3 linked regions of the Schizosaccharomyces pombe genome follow. Changing the gene in region 3 together with the main gene of any one other region gives a genetic interaction. Each region holds a gene or a part of one and is shown on either strand. Other genes may lie near its edges.

Evidence for each region. A genetic interaction does not mean that the proteins touch.
Region 1: mutations in rsv2 (region 3) and scs7 together harm fitness more than expected from each alone (negative genetic interaction), as found in Schizosaccharomyces pombe (2 studies listed by BioGRID).
Region 2: mutations in rsv2 (region 3) and pyp1 impair growth when combined (synthetic growth defect), as found in Schizosaccharomyces pombe (2 studies listed by BioGRID, with this or other methods).

Annotation. Positions count from the first base shown.
Region 1 is NC_003424.3:4,055,102-4,061,134, forward strand, and holds scs7 (ER sphingosine hydroxylase Scs7), read left to right. Parts: upstream 1-1,674; 5' UTR 1,675-1,856; coding exon 1,857-1,914; intron 1,915-1,934; exon of another isoform or gene 1,935-2,202; coding exon 2,203-3,188; 3' UTR 3,189-3,714; downstream 3,715-6,033. Other genes in the region: RNA-binding protein Rsd1, read right to left, coding at 1-771, 863-916; SPOM_SPAC19G12.09 (NADH/NADPH-dependent indole-3-acetaldehyde reductase AKR3C2), read left to right, coding at 5,151-6,005. UniProt on the Schizosaccharomyces pombe protein: Ceramide hydroxylase involved in the hydroxylation of sphingolipid-associated very long chain fatty acids. Postulated to hydroxylate the very long chain fatty acid of dihydroceramides and phytoceramides at C-2.
Region 2 is NC_003424.3:5,159,546-5,165,679, forward strand, and holds pyp1 (protein tyrosine phosphatase Pyp1), read left to right. Parts: upstream 1-1,966; coding exon 1,967-3,619; 3' UTR 3,620-3,815; downstream 3,816-6,134. Other genes in the region: GTPase-activating protein Gyp51, read right to left, coding at 4,196-6,134. UniProt on the Schizosaccharomyces pombe protein: Plays a role in inhibiting the onset of mitosis. Dephosphorylates sty1/spc1 and wis1/spc2/sty2.
Region 3 is NC_003423.3:3,529,675-3,537,734, forward strand, and holds rsv2 (DNA-binding transcription factor Rsv2), read left to right. Parts: upstream 1-3,253; 5' UTR 3,254-3,256; coding exon 3,257-5,170; 3' UTR 5,171-5,614; downstream 5,615-8,060. Other genes in the region: hhf3 (histone H4 h4.3), read left to right, coding at 93-404; SPOM_SPBC1105.13C (uncharacterized protein), read right to left, coding at 2,086-2,514; 3-hydroxyacyl-ACP dehydratase Htd2, read right to left, coding at 5,729-6,631; signal peptidase complex subunit Spc1, read left to right, coding at 7,415-7,498, 7,544-7,630, 7,686-7,751; RNase P subunit Rpr2, read right to left, coding at 7,886-8,060.

The DNA of each region.
Region 1 (6,033 bases), on a different chromosome or scaffold from region 3:
CTTGTCTCGAACAATTTGAGCATCGCGAACAGGACCAGCTTGTTCGAAAAAATCATATAATTCCCTAGAAGTCAAACGATTTGCGAGTTGAGAAACGAACACAGTACGGCGATCACGCTCTTCCTCTGAAAGTTTAGAGGAGCGTTCACGAGGACGGGAACGACTTCTCTTACGCTCATGTGAACGGTCATCATCCCTCAAGTCCTCATAATCATAATCATGGGCTCTAGAAGAACGAGAGGAGCGTTCTTCATAGCGGCGACGACTACGACTATGCCGCGAAGAGTAAGGAGGGCTGCGTGAATAATCATCGTATCGATGGCGACTACGACTTGAGGGATGGCGGCTTCGACTTGACCTTGAACTGCGATCGCGATCGCGAGAACGAACGGGTGATCTACTTTGATGAGAATCTACAGAAGAGTGAGGAGAGGGAGAGCGACTACCATAATCGGACCTTGGACTATATGATCTCCTATGGTGTCTTGGGGTGCGATGACTTGAGGAATTTGTAACTACATCATCGTTATAACCGCTATCCTCTCGTTGAAAAGATTGTTTGGAAGATCTGGCGTACCGATAACCCATTGAAACGGGAGGAGGAGTTAGACGACCTTCACTTTCGTAATTTTTAGACACGGGTTTGAAAGAGCGATCATGCAACCGTGTAGGCGGTGGAGGAGGGTTAGAGGGATGACTATGAGTGGAAGAGGTGAGTGAGGATTCATGAAAAGAAGAAGATGCCTTTTGCTGATTTTCTTGATTTTGCGGCTAGGAAAAGGGTTAGTAAAAACAATAAACACGGGAAGACAAAAAAACAAAGGGAAAAGGCGGGAAGGAAGGAAAAAAATTGTAAACGTACCACTTCTTGCTTACGAAAAGGAGCCTCAGCCAAGGCTTCCGCGTCCAGCTGCATTTAGATTAGATCTGTTTATCTATGCGTGGAAAATACGTTCGTTTATTTTCGTTTTCAATACAACAAACTCTGACAGGATCGGAACAGACTTCGACTGGAAAACTAAGTAAGCTAGTAAAAATGGAGTTTTGTCAGTCTAGTAGCTTTCGTCGCTTCTAACACGAATTGTTTTGTTAAAAAATATTAATAATGAGTACTCTTTTGAGCTATTTTGTCCTCTTTCTTTCGGTGGAAAAAAAAGTGGAATATTCTACTGCCTAAGCGATAAAAGATGAGAGAAATTTTAGTACAAACAAAAAAGAAAGCGAGGAATAGCGGAATAAGGAAATTCCAAGCTAAAAACAATTACCGACAATAAGAAGCAAAGAAACGGAAAGGAAGGAAAACAAAATTATACCTAACCAAACCAACGAAAAGTAAATCACGAAAAGTTAATAAATTTCGATCAACTTAAGGTTTTCTCTTTTCAAGTATTTTTTCGCAAATAATAATTTTTAGTCTACTATGAATAAATCAATGAATTGTATCTGTAAAGCACTTCACTCGTCTGTTCTTTCCCTGTGTATAGGCCCTTGAGTGCAATTTTCTGGTGTTCAGTTTCGGAACCCGTTTTGCGATACGGTAAATATTGTTTTCCGTTGTCTTACCATTTTTCGGAAAAGTCGATCAAAAATAGCACGATTTTTTGGTTCGCCCCGCAATGCCTTTTTGCCCTTTCCTGCGACATATATAGGCTACTGCATCCACGCCACAACATCGTGCCATTAACGCAACACAAACAAAGAACTGACATTTTGATCAATTGGACAAAAATCCAAGTAAAGAATCATAGGATCAGTTGCTACGTTGTAATATTTACTGTATTTGTTTATCAAACTCATCAGAAACACGCTTGCTACAGTTTTATCACGAATTAACAATTCATACTCCCATCTCCAAAATGGCCTCTGTTACTAGTGAAAAGTGTGTTATCCTTTCTGACGGCACTGAATACGATGGTAAGTATTTAAACAAGGAGAAATGGCAGGGTGTTTGGGTTTTGAGAAGGAGATTTGGTTGAAGGACTAAAATTTTTTCTCGGCAACAGAGTGTTTGAGAGGCAATGTATAAAAAACAATGAAAACGCATATAGCAAAGGCTTATTGGCAAAAGATCCATTGTGGGAGATGTGCCATTTCTTATCTTTTTTCTTTGTTCGTTGTGCTTTTAACTTTTTTTCACCTTTCCCCCTTTGCCTTAGTTACACCAAAATACATGTATCGTTCTTTATACTAACATTCCATTAGTCACCAACTACTTGGTTGCCAACAAGGACGCTGCTGACTTGCTTCGTCGCTATCACCGCCAAGAGGTTGCTGATATCCTTAATGCTACCTCCAAGTCCAAGCACTCTGAAGCTGTTGTTGAGATCTTGAAAAGTGCTAAGGTTCCTTTGAAGAATAAGGAATTCAGTGATCTTGTCGACCAGAACATTGGTGTCGGTTATGGCAATGAATTCATTGTCAAGCCTACCGATCTTGACAAGGATTTCGAGAAGAACCATTTCCTTGACCTCAAGAAGCCTTTATTGCCCCAAATTTTGTTTGGTAACATCAAGAAGGATGTTTATTTGGACCAAGTTCACCGTCCCCGTCATTACCGTGGCAGCGGTTCTGCTCCTTTGTTTGGAAACTTTTTGGAGCCTCTTACCAAGACCCCTTGGTATATGATTCCATTGATTTGGGTTCCCTGTGTCACTTATGGATTCTTGTACGCCTGTACCGGAATTCCCTTCTCTGTTGCTATCACCTTCTTCATCATTGGATTATTCACCTGGACTTTGGTTGAATATACTATGCATCGTTTCCTCTTCCACTTGGATGAGTACACCCCTGATCATCCTATTTTCTTGACTATGCACTTCGCATTCCACGGTTGCCACCACTTCTTACCTGCTGACAAGTACCGTCTTGTAATGCCTCCTGCTTTGTTCCTTATCTTTGCCACTCCCTGGTATCACTTTATTCAACTTGTTCTTCCTCACTACATTGGTGTTGCTGGTTTCTCTGGTGCCATTCTTGGTTACGTTTTCTACGATCTTACCCACTATTTCTTACATCACCGTCGTATGCCCAATGCTTACTTGACTGATTTGAAGACCTGGCATTTGGACCATCACTACAAGGATTACAAGTCTGCCTATGGTATCACCAGCTGGTTTTGGGACCGTGTTTTTGGAACTGAGGGACCTCTTTTCAACGAACAGGGAAAGATCAGCACTAAGGCTAAGTAGATTGTGATTGCGTTTGAATCATTTAGCTGCTAAATTGCTTTCAAGGTGTTAAAAGTTTCTTTGGTCCTTTTTAACTATCAATAATTTTGTGTGCTATATAAATCTTGTTGTATTTTTCTTTTCTTTTTTAATTGCTTTCCAAATTTTTTCTCCTCTCTTTACCCTTGAAATCACTAAGCAATTTTCCCCCATTTTCTCTCTGACTTTAACTAGGCCTTATTATAGTGCCTTAAAGCTGTGTATTATATTTGAATTGCAGAAACATCAAATTTGATTTAATTTGATTGATCCACTCGCTAAAGCATCTTGTATCCCACATTGAAATTGTCTTGTCTTTCTTCTTTTCTATTAATACTATTTTCTGGTTTCTTTTGAACAAGTTTTCAAACTTTACCTTGTTAAGTCGAACTTAATAATATTATCTTGACTATCGGCTATATAATTTGAGTCTAAGGTTGCTATTTTATTTTTCCTTTTATCTGTCTTTTAAATATAATTCGAATTTTTAATTGTTTTTACCACCCCATCTGTTTGTAGTGCGAAATGATTTTCTTGTAGAAGCATCTCCATATCATAAGAGCGCTGAATAGTTTTTGTTGACCAAATATGCAACGCCGAGACGAAAAATTTAGGAAGAAGATGAATAGAGATATCCACAATATATATGTTTTAACTATATTTAAGGGTCATTTTACATTTGTTTATAAAATGTAAAAAAATTTATTAAAAAGATCGTAATGAAAGGTGTGGGACTCGAACCCACGAGCTTTCGCACTAGTGCCTTAAACTAGCTCCATAACCACTCGGACAACCTTCCTTTTTTGAGTATTAGGGTAACTTAAATCATCATATAGGATTTCACTAATAAATTTTTATTTTAAAAATTTGTTTTCTTGTGAATAAAAGTGTAGCAATTTACTGATTATTTAACCAGAAAATAGATTTTAGACAAAATCTATAAAAATATTTGTTAACAGAAACTAGCTTGTGGGGAATGCGTTTAGAATTCCTCAATTACAAGTTGCAGGTAAATTTACCCTAGTGTTTGTTAAGCGGACGTCGAGTTATTAACCATTACTATTGACGTTGGTTAACATGAATAAGCTTGAATTATTGCCAAGTCATTTTCCTGACACTTTCAGATTTGTTTATTTGTTTTTTTCTCAACCTCTGACATTTAGATGCATAATACATGTCAAAGACTTCTTAAATGATTACGATCATCATGCCTTGAAGGAGTTTCCTCAATTTCTTGCCGATAAAGACTATAGTAAAAAATGATCTAGCAAAACTGAGTAAGCATTGTTTATGATTAAAGCATTGCTATTATAACGCTACAGCTTAATGGTAACTACCTTACATTTATTAACATTATAGGTAAGAATATGCTGTAAAAACCGCCAACTCATCTGGTGGTGAAGATAATCCTCGCAGCTAAAACAGAGGGATTCATTCAAGAATTGAATATTGCTAAATCAATTAAATACCGAATCTAACGTTCAACTTATTCTTGCCTGTAAAACTGTTTTCTATTCAACTTACACTGTTTAGTTGGAACAAATCTGCTTTTGGTTACACGTTTGTTCCTTATCTGATCAGATAATTCTTCATTTTAAAGTTCCAAAGACTCCTCTCTTAGATGCTGCACAACGTCAGTCAGATATTCTGTATGCCAAGCCAGACTTGGCTGATGTCATCTGACTAAGTTTTTGGAAATCTATATAAATAGCGATATACGGCCCTTTCTCGCACTCTTTTCACCTAAACAGAGCATTTTTAAAGAAGAAATTTATTAATTCTTGCTGCGATTCTCTTTTCTTTTGCTTGCAAAAATCTCGGTTTAACGTTTATTCCATTCATTTCTATTTAACAATTTTTATCCTGCAACTTTTAAAGTAGCGCCTCTTTGTAGCTTACTCTTTTTCTACTTTCAAGTTCTTTCGTACTCTTAACATTTTCAACATGCTTATCGCTGCTATGGGCCCTAAGATTCCCGTCCCTGCTTATGGGGTTGGTACAGCTTTGTTTAAGAAAGAAAAGGGAGAAATCAATCGAACCATTGTAGATTCGGTAAAGAATGCACTTGCTGCTGGTTTCATTCATATCGACTGCGCGGAAGTATATGGCAACGAAGAGGAAGTTGGGGTGGCTTTGAAGGAAGCTAATGTTCCAAGAAGCAAACTCTTTATTACTTCCAAGGTTATGCATAATGTCGATAACATTCCTGAAGCCCTCAACGAATCTTTACGTAAGCTTGGTACTGACTATTTGGACCTGTACCTTTTGCATAGTCCTATTCCTTTCTATGAAAAGAAAATACCCATTTCTGAAGGTTGGAAAGCAATGGAAACGGCTTTGGGAACCGGTCTTGTCCACTCAGTTGGTGTTTCTAACTTTCGTATTCCCGACTTAGAGGAGCTGTTGAAAACTTCAACTATTACTCCTCGTGTCAACCAAATCGAATTTCACCCTCAAGTATACAAGGCCGCGAAGCCTCTTGTAGAATTTTGCCAGAGTAAAGGAATTATCGTTGAGGGTTATGGCCCTCTTTCTCCCTTGGTTCGTGATGCGCAAGGTCCTGTTGCTGAATTCACTAAATCATTGGAGAGCAAGTACCATGTTTCTGATACTCAAATTCTTCTCAAGTGGGCCTATTCTAAAGGCGTTATACCTATCACTACTACCTCAAAAATTGAGCGTATGAAGGAGTGCTTGAATTTTGATTCTTTCACTCTAGACAAGGCTGACATTGACGAACTTGGTACCTTAGGTGTTCAACATCACAAGCGTACATTTATGAAGCACATGGATGAGTAATACTTTTATGTGATCAAGATAATTTTTA
Region 2 (6,134 bases), on a different chromosome or scaffold from region 3:
GTCGTTGGCTTTTTTTTTTTTCTTTCTTACCCGGGGGACTATTAAGTGATATCATTGTTTGGTGCTCCAAGATATACCTATTTCTACTTCTTCTTCTCTTTCTACATATCGCTCGCTCGTCCTCTCCCTTCCTCCTCTTAACCCTTTACTTGCTCCCAATCCTTTTTATCTTTTGGGTTTCCTGTTTAAACGTTGGGTAAAGTATAAGATTGGATCTTATTTTCATCGTCGTTTTGTTGGATCGTATGAAAAATTTTACCTTGGTTCGTCGCTCAGTCCTTGCTCTGATCGTTTGGTAAAAATCAAAAATCGTTAGACTTGATTTCGTTGACGTTTAGTGCGTTTAATTCTCTTTCTTAGATTTTTTCCTCCATCCTTCATCTCGTCAACAGTTCTCTCTGTTGTCTCTCCACCGCTATACGTAGCTTTTAAAAGTCGTTTGTTTCATTACCTGCGCCCATCTTTTCTTTTCTAAACTTTAACTCAAAGTGAATAAATAGGAAGAACTAGTCTTTTTTCCTTCCATAAAAGAGCACCAGATATATCGTTGAATCGCCGTGCTTTTTCTATTTGCTTCATTTTTTTATCCCGTACGATGCAAAATAGTTAATTTCTTCAACTTTTCTCAACTTTTGTTTCACCACTTCTTTCTCTCAATTGGGTTAGATTTTTCTCCTTTTACATTTTTTTTATACCTCCCTCTTTTTTTTTCTTGTTTCCTTTTCGTTGATATTTTCATATTTTCGGAATTCTCCTTTTCTAGTTATCCTATTTCTCGTTTCATCATTTTCTTTGTCTTTTCTCAAAAAGGTGTACTCTTGGGTTTCTTTCCACAGTGTAGTATCGCTTTTTTTGAACCTTTGAAGAGCTCATATATTCCTTTCCCTTGAGTTTTTCGGATTAAGTTTTGAATTTTTTTCCCATTTTCTTCATTGCTTTACCGTTTGTTTTCACTTCACTTTGGGGTCTTGGTGGTTACTTGTCTATTGTTTTTTTTGTGGGGTTCTGCATTCTGAATAGTTCTGTTTCTTTTTTTCTGAACTCATCTGTCTAAGTATTCACCATTCATTTGGTTTATTTACAGACGTGTGCTCTGTAATTTTCATCCTTAGTTGACCTTACGTTTTTGCTAGTTTGTTGCATCAACGTGCTTTTGGTTCCCCCCTTTAGCTTTGAATACGCTTCTGACTTTTAAATTGGGTTTTCTGTTTTGTAGGAAAATTATTCCATTGTCATTACATTTCAATTAGCCTCTACCTCTTTTCGTTCCTCGATCTCCTACTTGTATACTTTTCTGCACTTTGACAAACTGCAACTTATAATATTTCTTATACCCTCTATCTTATATTTTTGTTCAGTCTGGTTACTGTTTTCGTGCGTGTGCCCTACCTTTTTGCATTTTCTACTAAATACGAAATAATTTCTTAAATAGTGTTGCTTTTTGCAATCTTGCACTGTGCACTCACAAGCAGTATTTTTATTTTCCTCTTAAAATCGCTTGACCTTTGAAGTGACGATTCATTAATCCGTTAATTTTTAAGGATTCCCCCTTTTTATTCTCATATTTGCATAGTACTGATTCAAACCCATTCTTTGAATTGGATACTCCTCATCCCCTCTAAAACTCTTCCATCTTTATTTTCTGCAGAAAGTTTGAATTGAAAAACTTTTTTCATCTCAGACTTGATTTGAATCTTCTCTTGTTTCCTTCTATATTTTACTAATTTTATTGCCAAATTTTGCGTTAATTCTTTCCTTTTTAGAACCCTGGATTTTCCGTAATTTTGATATTTCCTATCCATTCATTATTTTGCTTTCGGCCTTCAAAACTTGTGCTATCCAATATTTGTATTTTATTTAAGAAGTCTGAATTTTTTTTTACTTTTTTACTTTTTTTTTTAATCATCTCTGCTTCTTTTTTAAGGCCAAATATTCTTAATACAAAACATTCATCTAAAAAACCACGATGAATTTTTCAAACGGTTCAAAATCGTCTACTTTTACAATTGCTCCTTCGGGTTCATGTATTGCTTTACCTCCTCAGCGGGGTGTAGCAACGAGTAAGTATGCTGTTCATGCTTCTTGCCTCCAAGAATATCTCGACAAGGAAGCTTGGAAGGATGACACATTGATCATCGACCTTCGTCCCGTATCCGAGTTTTCCAAATCTAGAATTAAGGGCTCCGTCAATCTTTCTTTACCTGCAACCTTAATTAAGCGTCCTGCCTTTTCGGTCGCGCGTATCATCAGCAATCTTCACGACGTCGACGACAAGAGAGATTTTCAAAACTGGCAAGAGTTTTCATCCATTCTTGTTTGTGTTCCTGCTTGGATTGCTAACTACGTAACGAACGCTGAGGTAATTGGTGAAAAATTTAGAAAAGAATCCTATTCTGGTGACTTCGGTATTTTAGATTTAGACTATTCGAAAGTCTCGGGCAAGTATCCATCTGTGATTGACAACTCTCCTGTAAAAAGTAAATTAGGTGCTTTGCCTAGCGCTCGCCCCAGATTGTCTTACTCTGCTGCTCAAACTGCTCCTATCTCTTTGTCCAGCGAAGGCTCCGATTACTTCTCTCGTCCTCCTCCCACTCCTAATGTTGCCGGTTTGTCTTTAAATAACTTTTTCTGTCCTCTACCTGAGAACAAGGACAACAAATCTTCTCCATTTGGCAGTGCTACAGTCCAGACACCCTGCTTACACAGTGTGCCCGATGCTTTTACCAATCCAGATGTTGCGACCCTCTACCAGAAGTTCTTGCGCCTGCAATCATTGGAGCATCAACGTCTAGTTTCTTGTTCGGATCGTAATTCTCAGTGGAGTACCGTTGATTCATTGAGTAATACATCGTATAAGAAAAACAGATATACCGACATTGTTCCTTACAATTGTACTCGTGTGCATTTGAAAAGAACTAGCCCTTCAGAGCTCGATTATATCAATGCTTCCTTTATCAAAACTGAAACTTCAAATTACATCGCTTGCCAAGGTTCTATTTCTCGTTCTATTAGCGATTTCTGGCACATGGTATGGGACAATGTGGAGAATATAGGCACTATTGTTATGCTTGGTTCATTGTTCGAGGCTGGCCGCGAAATGTGTACTGCATATTGGCCAAGTAATGGTATTGGAGATAAACAAGTGTATGGAGATTACTGTGTCAAACAAATTTCGGAGGAAAATGTCGATAATTCTCGATTCATTTTGCGAAAGTTTGAAATTCAGAATGCCAATTTTCCTTCAGTTAAAAAAGTACATCACTATCAATATCCTAATTGGTCTGATTGTAATTCTCCTGAAAACGTGAAATCTATGGTTGAGTTCTTAAAATATGTGAACAACTCTCACGGATCAGGAAATACTATTGTGCACTGCTCTGCCGGTGTTGGTCGGACAGGAACCTTTATTGTACTAGATACGATCCTACGCTTCCCAGAAAGCAAACTTTCTGGTTTCAATCCTTCTGTCGCCGATTCTTCAGACGTCGTTTTCCAGTTGGTTGATCATATCCGAAAGCAGCGGATGAAGATGGTTCAAACCTTCACACAATTTAAATATGTGTATGACTTGATCGATTCTTTGCAAAAATCTCAAGTTCATTTCCCGGTTTTAACATGAAATTTTTGACTGGATTTTTCTTGGCAATATATATTCGTGTTTTAATCGATTCCTTTATTTCTTGTACTTGTAAAGTGTCTTTTTTTTTACATTTGCATTTGAATTTACTGTCAATGTTTGTGAAATTCAGTTGCTTTAATCACGTTGTCTTTTATTTCAAAAAGTATATTTGAGAACTAGGCTTTTTAATGATATCTTTTTTTCTCTTAAATTTTCTTTTTAGAACTTTGTAAACCTATTTTTTGTACAAGATAAAGTCATCAAACTGATAATAACCTTGTATTATTTTCAGATGCTTTTTAAAATTTATTACTCGATTTCTTTAGGCAGAAATATAGAGTTTAAGCGAAGTGGTCGTGATCAAGAGCAATAGAATTCTTTCTTCACTGATTAAAGGTGAGACGATTCATTAAATATACATTCATTTGAACTATCGTTTGTATGTTTTTAAGTAAGACAAACTTGCAGGAACAAAGATTTTTTATAATACACATTAAACGTAACTCAATATAAATAAATTATTATGGCAATCATTAGGATGCAGATATTCCAATAGTACCTAGAATGCTTTTATATTCACTTTGTCTTTATGCGGTTCATAAGCTGACTCCATTTTTGTAAAGCCATCATATGGTCCTCGTCTAAAACGGCCAAGTTAACTTTAGTTTCAGCAAGCTGCTTTTCTTTTCTAAAGATTTCATCTTCGAGAGACTGACTTTCAACCATAATTTCTAAATTCTCAGCAATGATTGCTTCCATATCTCCTTGAAATGCCTGCTCTATTTCTGACTTTTGCTTAGCAAGTTGACTATTTAAGGATGCAATTTCGGATTTTAATGATGCTTGTTCAACAGTTTGATTTTTTAGATACATTTTTTCTTTCAGTAGTAGAGCGGACATGTTCTCATGTTCAACTTGCAAATTTGCCATTGAATCTGACAACATGATAAAATGCTCATTTAAAGATTTGTGCCTATTACGCATTTCTTCAAGAGAAGAGTCTAGCTCATGCTCCGATTTAAGTAAAATGTCATATTCATTTCCGTATCGATCCAAGACATCCGGCTGAATTTCGAAAGAGAAAGCAGTTTTTACAAACAAAGATGTATCATAATTCTCGCCTTCTTGAGTCTCCTTAAAGGCCAAAAAAATGTCTTCCTTAAGGTAACTAATCAGCCTATCCATATTGAGTTTCAGCAGGCTCTCTTGACTGTGACTTAGCAACGCAAGCCCAAAATTGAAGAGTATACCTGGACCATACAGAAATAAAATATCATACAGATGAGCAACGACTTCTAAAGGAAATTTATAGGCAAACAAGGTTAAAAACCATTCTGAAGCATACGAACATGTTTTGATGTCTTGACGCTTAAAATGAATTGCCAGAGATGGCATATAATCTTCCACCAGACGCGTGAATTGGTGTAAAACACGACTTAATCCTCTCATTTCTGAAGAAAAAATATTTTGCAAATGATAGTTTTTGAATAAAAAGACAAGTAAGGCAAATGCTTGAGGCGCTGGTAAGTGCATAAGTAAAGCACCTGCGATCCATGACATTCCTTGGGTATAGCCAACTTGTGGTAAGACAATAGCAAGAGACCGTAGGACACGATGCAAATTAGCGGTAGATTCTGCTATGTTATCTGTAGGTTCTAGCTGTTGACGATTGGAAAAAAAGTGACTTAAAATTTCAGGAGCAAACGTTCTGTCAAGATCTTTACGTATTGCTTTATCTGAATCACAGTTCTTAATGCTTAAAGATGAATACTGCATTTCATAATCATATGATGTCCAAGAAGATATAGTCTTCCATACAACAGTATGGACTGTGTGAGAATTGTGCATCAAAATCAAATTTCGGAATTCATCAAAACATTCATCGAGAACAAAGAGTGGGTTTTGAATGAAGTTCGATAATAGGGTAAATACCTGGTTTGATACGGTAGAAGACTGACTCTGAAGATACTCTAAAATTTCTAACTTTTGAGCATCGCCGATAGATCTTGGTTTTGAAATAAAAACGCTTTCAAGATATGAAGATATAACCCTTGGTGACTTATCACTAGGATACCGAAGTGGATTGAGCCAGGAAGAAACTGCTGTTGAAAAAGGAGATGTGGAATTATTGTGTGCCGATCTGCTTTTTGTTTTTACATGATTCGTCGAAAGCGAAGTTCCGGGACTGAAAGCAGTGTTCTTTTTCCCAACTTCGTCTTTAATAGTTTCGGGAACCTGGTTTTGTAACTTTTTTATTGTTTGAATGACTTCAATGGTCTCAGATGAAGCATCTAACACATGAGAAGGGGGTTCAGAATTTGAAAGATTATTCGTGTCTAAAGGCAAGCTCGATGTACTATTTGTACCATCCTTCGGATGCGGTTCTTGGGACCCAGATGCAGAAAGTTCATCATTTCGTTGATTAGAATTGAGAAATATAGTAGAGGATGAGGCAACAATAGGCGTTGGAGCTTCAAGCGGATCATCCTGTGTCGCTATTTTTTCTTCATTCAAA
Region 3 (8,060 bases):
TTAATATATATTGTGAAATGCCGCATACCCTACTAGCAATAGAAGCACTGTTTATAGTAGTAACTCTATTTCGTTAATATTAATAGTGCAATATGTCTGGCCGTGGTAAAGGTGGAAAAGGTTTAGGAAAGGGTGGTGCCAAGCGTCACCGTAAGATCCTTCGTGACAATATTCAAGGTATTACTAAGCCTGCCATTCGTCGTCTTGCTCGTCGTGGTGGTGTTAAGCGTATTTCCGCTTTAGTTTACGAAGAGACTCGTGCTGTCCTCAAGCTCTTCTTGGAAAATGTTATTCGTGATGCTGTCACCTATACTGAGCATGCCAAGCGTAAGACTGTTACATCTTTGGATGTTGTCTACTCTTTGAAGCGTCAAGGCCGTACCATTTATGGTTTCGGTGGTTAAATTCGATATCAATTGCCGACTCCGAATTTTTTGTTTCGAGTCTATCAATTTTATGTGTACACTATAACTATTCTATATATACATGCCAAACGAGAATGTTTTTCATCTGGGCGATATCAGAAGAAGCATTATCAATTTGCTAGTGCAATTCATAGACAAAAAGGCGTTTGGTCTTTGTGAGAAATTTTTCATATCGCGTTGTATCACGGCTGAATACTCCATCTGACAAGAAGATGAATTTTTCTTCGTGGATTTGTGATTAATACATTTATTGAATGAAATGATTAATATAATGTTCATTAAACCCGAATCGTATCGTGATATTTATAAGTAGTACAAATATAGTAAACGCGCAAGTTTTTCTTTAGGTAATTGTTTGTGCGACCTTAAGCAAATTAACCTAGTTGATGCGTTACACTGTTCTTCGTGTCATCTTTCTGGGTATGGGGAAAGTGTGTCTAGTGAATGGGGTTAAAGAAGGTTATCTAAGCGACTAGTTGATAGCAAACAGTTGCATAGCCAGGAAGATTGTGAATTGTACGGTACATCGTAGTTGTGAGGTAATACGCAACTTTCTAATTGAGAGATATCAAATTGAATCAGCTCGATCGCATACTTAGATACTTATTAAGTGTTGTAATTTCGTCAAATAAAACTTTTAACAATGTAAAAAAGTACGTACTTTCTTCCGCTCCTTGCTTAATACCACAATAAATGAATTTACCTAATCTGTATCTAACAACCACATAGTCAACGGGACTAACAAATTCCAGTAAAGTGTTAAGGATAAAAAGCTTTCAGCAATGAGAGCGTACGACTCTTTCTCTAATCTGACATGTTTTCTTTTGTGTTTATAAAGCATTCGTTTTGTATTGACAAATTTTTCAATTACCTTGGGTAGGTGAATTATTTTTGGGCATATGACATCAGAACGCGTTGAACAATTAAGTTCACTTTGACAAAAATACAGATTTTTTATCACTACACGTCGTTTACTTTATATTTTACTTCATCTTATTACAAGGTTACTCTGTAATTGTAACGTTTGACGAAGCCCATAATCCAATCCTCTTTTTCGTTGCAGAGGAAAATAAGGAAGAGTAAGTACGTAAAGCCTACGAAAAGAAAGAGAAATATAAAAAAGTATACGTTTGTCAGTGCAATATTGAATGGTAAGTTTATTAATTGTTCCACTCATCGACTAAATAATAAAGTAGAAAGACGAGACATTTATGTGTATGCTAGAACACACTGGAATCCATTTGTTCACGAGTTGTTCTCGTAATAACATAATGATTGGTATTGCCGTGTGTGAATGCCAGTGATTATTGATGTTTGAAAGACTACAACTGATAAAAAGATAGTTGCACTAGTGATAAAAGTCTGTTGAAATTGGTATGCTCTAAAAGTCATTTGTACTTGAGTAAGCAGTCATATGCGTGTTGGCTATCCATCTGTTTGACTTGTTTGAAAATAATACACATGGGTTATGCTTTTCACAAGAAAGTAGAATAATTGATTCCTACATCTGCATCATCCATATCGATCGGTAAAGTATACTTTATCCTACGAATTGGTTTCATAGTTAAATCACTCCTCTGCTTAGCAGCTCCGCATCCCCTTCGTGTACTAGCCAATCTCATCGACATCGACAAATTGACTTCACCTGAGTTAAGCATACTTAATTCAACTTAACGAAGTGCAACCCACCACGACTGACCTCTGTAATCTCGGAAAACGGATAAGACGGTTCAGTACGTTCGCTAGTAAGAAGCATGCATGCAAAGGTACAAGAGCAGGCTTCCCATGCAAACTGAGAAAATAATCCCTGAAGAATTGCTAGTAAGCCAAATTGCAGCGCCTCCAAACATCCTTCTATTAAGGACCAGAAAGAATGATGCTGATGACTAATTTTTGGGTTATGCAAGAAGCATCTGGCATTTTCTTTAACTTCTCCACGAATAAGGAGAAGGTCACACGACGGAAGCGTGGAATAATGATGAGTTTGATCGTCGGTAAACTCCCCCAGAGTAGCGAAGATCATCGGCATCGAAAGAAAGAAGGGAAGGAAAAAAAAAAGTAAAAACGACTTGATGAATTCCGTGATCATGTAGGGTAACGGAAGACGAGATTACCGAGTTTAAGTAAGCAATCGAGGTCTGCATTGCGATGCCGATATGGTGATCGGGAACATGAAGCACTTGATTGACTTGAACATGTAGGGAGGAAATTTTTTTAGCGTTTTTAGACTTTTCATTTAGCTGCTATCTTAGGAGTAGCGTGACACGGCGCAAACGAAAAACAAGACATTTGTTGTACCAAACATCCTCAATTCCATCGCATCTCTAAAGTACGAGTAACTAGAGTAAGATGCAAATCAACGTCGTGATATGACCTAAAAGTATCGTGGACTTGATTCATCCTTCAATCTCATCTTTCCCCGACTCCGCCTCTTCATTTTGACCTCATTCTATGATTGCTTTTGGAATGAAGCTTGCAGCGTATTCCTTCATTAGTGCGTTATGACTAACCGCGATATATAAGGTGATTTAAGTACTGGAAGCTCGCTTTCCATATGAGAGGACAGCGTAGAGCGCAAGTCGCAGATTGAAGGAATGTAATTGGGGTTCGCTTACACATTACGCGCTTTTATTTGAAAAGAACGAATCAGCAGCACTGCCAGCGCATTCTGACATTTCCATGCTACTTCATTGGCGGCCTCTGATTGGCTCAATCAATGTAAAACGACGTCAATTGCTAACCAATGTTGTTTGACAAGGGTGGTTTTTTCAATCAGACGCTTGACGTCATTCTTTATATATACATTGCCTCGCGCATCTTTGCTGGGTAGTATGGACACTACAAACAACACATATGCAAGATCAATTTCTAGTAATGGGAACGATAACTTTCCCACTCCAGATTGGCAATTTAATGGATCCCAATTGCAACAAAATCGTAAATCCAAAATGAATGGTCGCTCTGTGACTAATGTATTTCCGAATGCATTCTCGGATGCTGAATTCGAGCAAATCTCGATGCCCGAACTCAATTTAAAGCGTTTTAACCCTACTACGTTAGAAGAAAATAACTCAGATTTATCTGATATGTCCTCCTGGGACTATATGATGAACGTTCCCATTCGTGTCTACAACGATGCTGACACAATGGACCCCTTCTCCCTCGACACTATTCCCGATTCCTCGATGGACATGCCATTTGATCCCTTAGCATCTGACTATGGTAACGCTGCTAACTTTCCAAGTGTCCCTTCGTCCCTTGGCAGCAATCATCAATTTATCACCACACCTCCTGTCAACGGGTCGAACGAACCTACCTCGGCTCAAACGAATCACATTATTACTGCTAACAGTTCCCCCAGTGGAAATGCTGGGAGTAACGCATCTGCAAGCATGTCCGTCCCTCCTCCTCTTACTCCATCTGCTTCCACCATTAATGACCAGCCCTTCTCCAACTCTTTCGATTTACCTAGTCAGGTGATTGCTGATGGCACTGGCGCGATTTCCGACATCAACGGTAATCCATTTCCCATGAATTCTCCACCTTTGGATATGGAACCGTTGCCCTCGATATCCATGGATGCAAGTGACTCTGTCTCCGAACAACTTGTAAAGGACGCCTCTCTTCCTAGTGGTCCTTTTTCAACCGATTATTTGGAGAATGGAAGTGACTTAAAAAGGTCACTGGGTCACAATCAAAAGTCAGACAGAGTCTCAAAAGATGTCTCACCTCAACACCAAGCAAATCCCTCTACCCTTAACAATCCTCTCAAGACCCAAAATTTTGATTCCTCTAAGAACCTTTATACCGACAACAAGGATTCCTCCCTTGTATCTCCAACGGGACTTCAATCCCGTATGGAACAAAATCCGGAAGTGCGGGCGCATCCTATGAAGGACTCGGCGACGAGCACTGCGTTACGCCGTTCTCATGCTCTGGGAGCTGCTGCTGACTCTCTTCTTCCTCAAGAAAACTCCGCTCAGATATATGATGGGAAGGATGTATCTATGGTCAATGATAACATGCACTCCGATGTTCGGCAGGACAGCTTCAATAAAGAATCTATTAAACAACGCATCCCTTCTTTGTCTCCTCCGATAACGCGATCATACAATGCCAAGCATCGCCCCTCCTTGGTGCTTGGTACGTCGGTAAATCCACATTCACTTTCTCCTTCACAGCCTCCTGTTGTCGTACCTTCAAATACTACGATCAGCTCCTCTCCTCCACTCACTTCTCCTGTTAAAACCTCTGCTAATATACCTAACTTATTACCGACTTCAGAGTTAGACAGTTCCAACGCTCCTCACTCTCAATCGGCTGCTACTCATGACCTAAATGACGTTAAGTCGTATTACAATACTAGGTCTTCTCATTCCGTGGTACCTAATCCAACCAACCAAAAAGTAAGCATCACCGGTGCTGCTGCTGATGGCCCCAACGGATCTGCTCCTGTTGACACCACTCCTACAAATTCTTCTACTACTGCTACGGGTGCTCAGAGGAAGCGTAGGAAGTTTAAATTTGGTAAACAAATTGGTCCAGTTCGGTGTACTCTTCAGAACAGAGTTACAGGAGAAATTTGTAACACAGTGTTTTCTAGGACGTATGATTTGATCCGTCACCAGGATACGATACATGCTAAGACACGACCTGTATTTCGATGTGAGATTTGTGGCGATCAACGCCATTTCAGTAGACATGATGCCTTGGTTAGGCATCTCCGTGTGAAACACGGTAGATAAATTGAAAGGAGTCTCTTCTGCCACAAATATTAAAAAAAGGTTATTGCATTATCTATTGTCATTTTTCACCTCTTACGCTTCTTCATTGATTCCTTGTTTATGAATTTTAAAAAAAGTTGCATTTTGCTAATTATTTTCAAGAAAAAAATTGGTACCGTTATTATTTCACAGCCCTTTTGAAAGTGCTTTTTCCTTTGTCTCCTTTCATGTACATTTATCATCTTAATTTTGCCTCTTCATTTCATCGTATCCTCAAGCTTCATGTGTAATTTCAAACCCCTTCTCCGTCTAACGGTTTCCTTTTTTATTTTGGACGGTCATAAGTGTTTTTATATTTTGTTTTCATTTTTATTGGGATTGGTTAATATTGTTTTTTTTTTCTTACCAAGTTACTGTTAAATGTTAATAAAAAATTTTGTGTGTTTTCACCTTAAATTGAATACCTATCATGTAATTTGATTTAGTTTTACATACTTAAATTTTAATATTAGTAAGTAGTATTTGTAATTTAGAAATATTTTTTCTGCCGGTATTAATTATTATTGTTTTTCAGTTATGTTAGGTATAGACGCGGCCTCTAGCAATCAAAGACGGTGGATCAAGGTCTGTAGTAAATCGATCAATCCATAGGTTACCTGTCTCTGAGATACATATGCGTAGTGGTTGATTGACAAACGCGGGAGATAATAATCGAAACTCAAATCTTTTCATGTTCTTTGACATTTGGGGATAAACAGAACGAAAGTACTCTAACATACTAGTCACTAGAAGAGGACCTGGAAGAACGAGATTTGGATAATTTTCGGACTTTGTAGCGTATGTCGCATTCCAATGGATCATATGAGCATTAAACATTAATGCTGAATAGCGAAACACCATAATAGGTGTAGGTGTGAATACCCAAGAGTGTTGTGGAATACTTTTGCTACGTAAAGTTTTTGGTATAGCCAGTTCTTGTCGATTTAAATAGGCTAATGTTCTATCTTCCTCGATACATAATTGATGCTGACTGTCGTAAATTTTTCTTCGAATATATACATGCTTTGTCTGTTTTTCTGAAGTAGGCTTTGTTAGAAAAGAACTTTTTGGAAGACAAGCTTCAACTTCTTTTGTAATTGATGGAGATTTCACAGATTCTTCCTGAATCAATTCATGACATTCCGAAGTTTGGAAAAGATGTAAAGGTCTATGAAAACGAAGGACTCCATGTAACCATATTCGGCGCTTAAAAGAAAAAGGATTATTTGGCTTTGGGGAATAAAGACTTTCATATCCATCTGAATTCAAATTTGATTCAGGAGATGCTAAAGAGAAAAAAAGAAAATGGTAACCAGGCTGTAATGATGTTATTTTAGCATCCATTGTTATGCAACTAACAGGCAAATGACCACTTAAAGTAGCTTTTAACTTATCAATTGGCGCTTGAGATAAGAAATCCTTTAAAACGACCTTTGCTGACATCGATGATTACTTTCTGAAACGCTTTGCACATTGACTTTTCAAGTAGGCAATTTATCAATACTGAAGGTGATCTATTAGAAATTATTATAAATTAGCCGAAGCAATTATCCCTAAGAAGACCTCAACTTTTAAAATCGGAAAGGACAAATCTTTGAAGCAATAAGCTCTTAATTTTATGGAACCTAATAACTTTAACAGCTACACATTACTAATTGCTTTTGGCACGACCCAAATTGCTTAAGGTATACGTGTAATGCTTGTTTTATACCGTTAGTGGAGACTTGACCTCTTTTAGCAATGAAGTACTAGCAAAATTTATGATAATCGCACATCTAATAAAAGATAATTTCACCAAATGAAAAAAAAAACCACCTAAGCAATTAATATACGATTTAAGTCACATACATTTAAATTAAGCCCTTGTTGGTGAATCTTTATTAATTATTAATCGTTTATGAACGCTGAAGTACCTTAACCTGTTAATTGTAAAGATCATTTCTATATAATGTTAATAGGTCATCAATGAGCCGCTTTTTCATTTTCAAATCGAATTTGACATTGAGGTGTTGATTTACATCTATTGAAAATGAAGGAGCAACCGATTTGCCTATATATTTTCATGCCTCTTTTTTTGCTTGTTTTTTGTTTCATATTCATCAATGTACAACGTGCTATTGGATTACAACACGTTATTATGGTAAACCGAACGATAACGAGATTCATTCGTTGTAACCACATAATACAAAAAGCAACTTTACTGTTTTGAGAAAGAGCAAGCATACCATGAACTATCTTGAAGGTACGATCGATTTTGCAGGACAATTAAGGTGTCAAAAGTATATGAACTATGGTCTATGTACAAGTGCTGTATGTCAGGGATAAAATCTCATTTATTTACTAATATATCTATAGGTTATTTCGTACATTTATGGGTATTTAGTTCAAGATTCTTATTGTGTGATTAAATTGTTTTTAATTTTAGCATCGTTGGTGGCTCTTGTAAGCTAGTTTTTTTGCTTCTAGTCATGTAATATTAACATTCATTTAAAAATAGGTGTGTCTTCCTGCTTGGTCTATGTACAACAAAAACCCTTTAAAATTTCAAAAGAAAAAGGAGTAAGCGGGAAATGGGGAATCTTTCTTTACTTGAATCGCAATCTCGCGAAATTAAAGAACCAAAATACCAAACAAAAGTTGCTCCGGCTTTATAGAATACAAATAATCTTTCATTCCAAAAGTAATGCTAAACATGTTTTAACAACTTTTGTCCGAAAACCTTTTTTTAAACGCACATTTTTTGCATATCCACAATACACGATCGATAGATGGATTTTTCCGTGATGGTTCCTCAAATCTTATTGAACATGACTTTCCTGGTACCAATAAAGAGTTACATCCTTTACATATGGTGCGCTTTATATCTGGGTGT